Oryctolagus cuniculus: one gene and its partner. The main gene of each other region encodes a partner of the protein of the gene in region 2 in a complex. Links are inferred from orthologs where the notes say so. Each region holds a gene or a part of one and is shown on either strand. Other genes may lie near its edges.

Region 1 (3,652 bases), on a different chromosome or scaffold from region 2:
AGCTATTTGCTAACAATTTGCTACCTTTGAATAAGTAACAAATTATAGTTTCTCAAATGAGAGGTTAGTAATAAGAAAGGCATTTTGATTACTCTAGAACACACATTAAGATAATTACCTAAACAGAAGACAGAATAAGAAAGAAGTCTGTCAATTTAAAGGTCTGATTTTTAATCTGGCTTCAAACCACTCTTTCCCTAACAAAAGCACTGGATCTAGGAATTTATCAAATAGACAAATGAAGATAATAATCAGGGCACTTTAGAGAGAACAGTACCATTCAAACTTATCTACACCCCACATAGTGAAATCAAATAACTGATTTTTACATTCTAATGGCTAAAGAAAGAAGTAAATAGAAATGGTTACTATTAAGGTATAAAATACTTCAAACACCAATAGGATTCCATACTTGTTTAGACCAAGTTCAAGGAATATATACTTCGAATTAAAATTAAGATCAACTTATTCAATAATATTAACTCATTAAGTTTCAAGTTTTCAATTTGACAAATATTTCAGTTATCATCAGTGGCATATTTATTGTTCAATTTCAGTTTTTATGGGTAGTCTCAAATTTTGAGGTTCCAACCTAAGAATTTATTTTTATTGGGTTTTTGCGTTATTGGAAAAAATTTCTTTATTTTTCTGATCAGCAACTGCTGAAAACTTAATTGATAGACCCAAATCTATACACATGTTTTAAGGAACCCAGGGTACCCTACAAAACAGAAAGCAAAGAAACAAATTGAAGTACTTACCAATACTCTAAAAAAGTAAAGATATTCTGCTGCTCCAGAATAATTCCCACATTCATACTGGAATTTTGCATACCTATAGAGTGTATCTAAATATTCTTGCCTAAACTAAAAAAAAAAAAAGTATGTTAATTTCTAGTTTTACAATTCCATTCATTTATTGCTTTAAACATCCTGAAGAAATAAACTATTTTAAAGTTTTCTAAAAGCTGCTCACTTGATCTTAGAGTATACAATTAGGAATTGGTCGATTTAATGCTCAGTTTTGACCTCAAAAACTATGAATTGTAATGATACCTACTCTATTGTAATACAGCTTTGAATTACAGCTGAAGGTCTGGTGTGTATGCTCCTTAGTTTGTGACTGAGATTAGCCAACTATCAAGCATATGCATCCTATTTCTGTATAAATAACAACAAATCTCTGTTCTTGTGAAAATGGGTCCCAAAATCACACTGACTTTTATAATTAATAATGCAAGCAAAGTGAAAGTGAGGAAATCTAATAGGACTCCAAACTAGAACATAAACAAATCCACTCTAACCAGAAAGAGTAATTTGCACAAGGGTTAGCAAACTTGTTATGAAACTGTTAAATGACAAGATAAAATTTGAATCTAACAAAGAATTAATTATTTGCAGAACTTCCCACTTTGAGTTAATACAAGAGAAAGAGAATTGAGAGATCGCTAGGAAAGCCTGTAACATTTATTTGTGAATTTGGGAATTTATGAAGTCCTTTAAAATGTCAAAACTTAACTCTGTTGCTCAAAGTCAATTCTAATTCAAATTTAGCTCTGCTTCTGTTTCTTTCTTATCGCATAAGAAAAGGTAGACTGTGCCCTAAAATATTTAGCTTGCTGTTGGCACTAACATATAATGGTGTTAATAATTCCAGAATAACCAAATCAAAAACTTTGAGAATTTTCTGTTACCTAAAGTTGAGCACAACTATATATTTTCCTGTCAGCACCAATTTAAAACTAAAGTTTCAAAAACATACCAGATGTATTTAAAAATTTCATAATTATTCTGTCAAGCCATGAAGCTATCTGCTAAAAATCTAGATTATAATCAGCCTTATTAAAACATGACAACTGGAAAGTATTTTTAAAAAACACTTACTCCATGCTTGTCTGCCAGGTAATCAAACAGCATTCGACCATCCCTTAATAAAAGCAAAAATTACTATATTTCATATACCACAAGAAAGTCATTATTTGTCCAAAGTCACTTTAAATATCTTATTATATAAACACTGTAAATAAGGCTTCTGGAATATTTAATATATAAAATGTGCATTAATATTTATAGATTTAATACAAAGAGAATACCTCAATTTTGAATGTAAGGAACATAAGAGATCTACAAATCTTACAACATATTTTCCGATTCCTTTAGCTCTAATTAAAAATCATTTGTTCAGTTTTATCATGTCTAAGGGTTTTAGATGCCTTTTAGGTTATAAAACCAGAACATTCTAACTTTTCTATTTTTATAGTAAATTCAGCAGTCTACTTAATAGTAACCTACTGAGAATGGTATTTGTTTTCTGAGGTTAGATTTCTGATAAGAAACCCTAATACATACACTGTACAAAGTAGCAGGAATTAATTCTACATACAAATTTTATCTCCCTCACTCAGCCTTTTGGTCCAGGCAGGGATTAAGCAGCTACCTCCAAGTCCAGCATTTCATAACGTAACTCGGGCAGAGTCCCGGCTTCTCTGCCTCTGATCCAGCTCCTTGCTAGCTATGGCCTGGGAAAGCAGTGAAGAGGGCCCAAATGCTTGGCTCCCTGTCATCAACATGGGAGACCCAGACCCAGATGGAGTTTCCAGCACCTAGCATCACCCTCACTAGCCCTGGTCCTTGCAGCCATTTGGGGTATGAATCATGGGAGGGAAGACTCTCTCTCTATATATAACTTTGCCTTTCACACAAATAAAATCTTACAATTCCTCAAGTGTATATATTGGCAGGTATGAATTGTCACAACAGTAATATTCATTTTTAGTAGATTTTTAAGCATTTCCAATAATGCAAAAGGCTTCAGTAGTAATATTACTAAGTTGACTAAGGCAATACACTTCCTTTGGGAACCAAACAATAAATCTATTTCTAGCTAAAGAAAAGTTAGAAATAAAATGTTATCAATTCCACACTACTTTCCTTGGGCTGGGGATCAGATGCTGGAAGTTAATGAGAATGTAGCAGGTAATAACTGAACTGAGGTTTCTCTTACAGAGAGCAACCCATGTGCTTTTGGTATTACACACAGGGTTTCTTCATCAGTATACTGGGCTGGATAATTCTCCTCTGGTGAATGGGAGGGGAATACTGTCCCACCACCATGGAGTATGTAACAGTATCCCTAATCTTTATTTGCTAGGTGACAGTAACATCCCTCCAGTTGTCACAACCAATAATGTCTGCAGGCAATGTCAAATGTCCCCTGTGAAGGATATATTCAGGTATAGAAAACTGATAAAGAAATTTAAAATTTAGTATTAACATTTATTAAGCAATATAGGCCCCTACAAAATAAGGATTAAAATGAACAAATAGATAAAGCAATCATCTCAACAATAAACTTTTACTACAGGATTCTAAAGTCTGAATTAACATCTGTACTAATCCAGAAATTAGAATTCTTATTAACTTTGTTGTTTTTTTTTTAATTTTGAGACTCAGAAAGAGAGTTCCTCTCATCTGTGAATTCATTCCCCAAACATCTGATGTGGCCACAGCTGGACTTGGCTGAAGCTGGGGAGCCAAGAACTCAACCCAGGTGTCCCACGTGGGTGCCAGGCTCTCAAGTATTTGAGCCGTCATTGTCATTGCTGCCTTCCAGGGTGCGCATTAGCAGGAAGCTGGAGTCTAAAGGCTCCAGA
Region 2 (3,652 bases):
GAGTGCAGTGGAGGATGGCCCAGGTGCTTGGGCCCTGCACCCCATGGGAGACCAGGAGAAGCACCTGGCTCCTGGCTCCTGCCATCGGATCAGCGCGGTGCGCCGGCCGCGGCGGCCATTGGAGGGTGAACCAACGGCAAAGGAAGACCTTTCTCTCTGTCTCTCTCTCACTGTCCACTCTGCCTGTTAAAAAAAAAAAAAAAAAAAAAATGTGCCTGGGAAGGCAGCAGAAAATGGCCCAAATGCTTGGGTCCTTGCCACCCTTGTGGGAGACCAGGATAGGGTTCCTGGCTTTAGTCTGGCTATCATTGCCATTTGGGGAGTGAACCAGGGGATGGGCGGTCTCTCTCTCTCATCGCTCCCTCTCACTCTGCCTTTCAAATAAATAATCTTAAAACTATCTACTTATAGGGTGGACAGAGAGATACAGGTTCTATAAATAAAAGGTTGTGAGTGCTTTTTAATAGTGTTTTTATTTTTGAGCCACATAAATGTGTTTTCTATTCAAAAAGAAAAATATTCCTGATCCTGCTTCAAATAACCAAGAACAGCACAGAAACAGATACTTTTTGTATCTCACTCAGTATGTACACTGCACACAATGACTACAAAGAACTGCAGACATGGGCAAAAATCATTGACTGTGGTCACTGTGCAGTCACGACTATTCCTGAATGTCTGTAAAACTTAAATGGCATCTAATACATGACAGTTCTGCATTCTGCTTTTGCAGTAACCACACAGCAGTCTGTTTTGGGATTCACCTATCTTAAGGCATTCACTTACAGTCTGTACAGAGTCCTTCAAATTGACAGGTAGTACTCACAGGCTGTAAGACACGACAAAAACTGCCATGAGAATTCTGTATCTTAGGAAAAAAACAGCACTTACCCTCTTCTTAATTTCTTCTTGCCTTTTCTTTTGTTGCCGTTCTTTCTCTTTAATCTTTTCTGCTATTTTTTTCTTCTCTGAAATTTTTATTTCTGAAAGAAATGTTTTATTCACAGTTACACTGAATATTTACCAGTCTATGGATGAGATAGACATGATATTTGTATATTTCAAGAGACTAAACCTTTCTCGGCTTCCGGTTCATATGCTGATTTCCTGGCAGACAAGAATGGAAAAGTTCTGGAGCTTCTCCTTCTCCTCCTTAATGTGATCACTAAAATCCAAACATCTCCCTTTTTTTTTTTTTTTTTTTTTGACAGGCAGAGTGCACAGTGAGAGAGAGACAGAGAGAGAGAGAAAGGTCTTCCTTTGCCGTTGGTTCACCCTCCAATGGCCGCCGCACTGCGCTGATCTGAAGGCAGGAGCCAGGTACTTATCCTGGTCTCCCATGGGGTGCAGGGCCCAAGCACTTGGGCCATCCTCCACTGCACTCCCTGGCCACAGCAGAGAGCTGGCCTGGAAGAGGGGCAACCGGGACAGAATCCGGTGCCCCGACTGGGACTAGAACCCGGTGTGCCAGCGCCGCAAGGCGGAGGATTAGCCTACTGAGCCATGACGCCGGCCTATATCTCCCTTCTTATTTCCTGATCACTCCCTAGAATGGACTTAAGCTTCTTGAACTAAAATGCCAGACACTCCACTCTCCTAATAATAGTCACACAAAGGAAAAAAACAGCAGATATCACAACTGTTCATAGTTTGAGGGAATACAGAAAGATGCAAGGAAAAGAGAATTAAGGTGGGACTGAAAGAATACTTCCTGTCTAAATGCCAAAATTTTCAATTTTGTCATTTAACTTAAGCACCAAATGCCTACCAAGACAAAACCAAAAATGGAGGAGCTCCAGTAGCTCACCTGGTTTTACTTCTGCTTCCTCTTTCTTTTCGTCGTCATCATCATCCCAGTTATCCTAAAGAAAAGGACCCCCATTAATAATTCTCGCATGTTCGTGTTTCCGTCAATTTATTATCAACTTGTCTAACTCCATAGAAACAGCTTGTTGCCATTTTTGAGGTAATGCATTAAATTTGTAAATTAACAGAGATAACTGACATAACACTGAGCTGTCAAGTCTAGTTTTGTTGTTTTTCATGAGTGTTTCAAAGTTTCCCTCTTAGAGGTTTTGCACATTTCTCTTTCTAATTATTCCCACGTATTTCATCTTCTGTTTTGCTACTGCATTTCTAGCTGGTTATTATTCATGAACAATAAAGCTACTGATTTTTCTGTTAATTTTATATCCTGCTACCCTACTGAATTCATTTATCACTTAAGTTACATTTATCATAGACTTTTCTAGGTAGATAGGTTGAGTATTCCTAATCCAGAATGTTGTAAAATCTGAAATTTCTGAGTATGTTGCAAGTGGAAAATCCCACACCTGACCTCATGTGACAAATCACAGTCAAAATGCAGGTGCACTAAGAACACTGTATACATGACTTTCAAAATATATAAAGATATAATACACACATTCACTGTGTGCCAAGAAACATAAATTAATTTCATTTTTAAACTTGGGTTTCCTACCCAAAACATCTCATTTTATATACGCAAATATTCTAAAATCCAAAAAAACCCTAAAATCCAAAATATTTCTGGTCCTAAGAATTTCAGATGGGACACTCAACCTCTACTAGCAGATCATCTGTAATTAAGTCAACTGTATTTGTTCTTCACCAATCCTTCTGCCTCACAATTGACTTCTCTTATTCTCATTGCTCTGGCTCAATCTCTACAATGTGGGATACCAGTATCTTTGCCTTGTTCCTCTCTTCTTGGAAATATCTTGTGTTTCCCCATGAAATGCTATGTGTTCCACCAAACTTATGCATAACTTAGCAATTTTTTCTTTAATTGCTTCTGGATTTCCAGGCAGAAAGTCTCTTCTTCCAACGAAGAATTCATCCACATTTTCTTCTAGAATGTGTAGGCTTTCACTGTTTCTTCATTTAAATCCCTGATAATATGGAGTATTTTTCGTATGTATAGTGTGAAGCATAAAGGTAATTCTACTCTTTTCCAAATGGCTACCCAGTTGTCATAGCATCATTCATTGAAAGCTCATATTCAGGGCTGGCGCTGTTGGGGTAGCAGGCAAAGCTGCCGCCTGCGAGGATGGCATCTCATATGGTGCTGCTTGGAATCCCAGCTGCTCCACTTCCAATCCAGCTCCCTGTGCCTGAGAAAGGTACAGAAGATGGCCCAAGTGCTTGGACCCTTATACCATGTGGGACACCTGGAAGAAGCTCCTGGTTTTGGGTTGGAAGAAGCTCCTGGTTTTGGGTTGGCCCAGCCCTGGCCATTTGGGGAGTAAACCAGTGGATGGAAATTTTTTCTGTCTCTTCCTCTATGTAACTCTTTCAAATAAATTAATTTTAAAAAACCCCATCTTTGCCCCGTGATTTACATATGCTAAATTTCTTATTCCTTGGATGTACTTCTGGGCTTTCTGTTCTACCCCTCTGATCTAATGTCTCTTTGTGCACCAGTACCATCCCGTCTCAATTAGAGGCTTTACAGAATGTTTTAACGTCTGCTAGGGCCAGTTCCCTCTTGCAGCTTTTCAGGACTTTCATGTTTTCCTGACCATTCCTGCATGTCTGTTTTTCCATCTGAGCCTTTATACCAACTCATCTAATGCCAAAAAAAGTTTCTCCATTAGCAATTAAAATACAAACTAAAATTAATAGCTTTATT

Evidence for each region. Proteins that work in one complex are often made in the same cells at the same time.
Region 1: EIF3J (region 2) and EIF3E share a complex: the UniProt entries of both Homo sapiens proteins name them as parts of the eukaryotic translation initiation factor 3 (eIF-3) complex. The link is inferred for Oryctolagus cuniculus from reciprocal best matches to the Homo sapiens genes EIF3J and EIF3E.

The regions. Positions count from the first base shown.
Region 1 is NC_091437.1:133,451,665-133,455,316, forward strand, and holds part of EIF3E (eukaryotic translation initiation factor 3 subunit E), read right to left. Parts: intron 1,927-3,652; coding exon 1,884-1,926; intron 867-1,883; coding exon 762-866; intron 1-761. UniProt on the Homo sapiens protein: Component of the eukaryotic translation initiation factor 3 (eIF-3) complex, which is required for several steps in the initiation of protein synthesis.
Region 2 is NC_091443.1:67,483,349-67,487,000, reverse strand, and holds part of EIF3J (eukaryotic translation initiation factor 3 subunit J), read right to left. Parts: intron 1,863-3,652; coding exon 1,808-1,862; intron 984-1,807; coding exon 892-983; intron 1-891. UniProt on the Homo sapiens protein: Component of the eukaryotic translation initiation factor 3 (eIF-3) complex, which is required for several steps in the initiation of protein synthesis.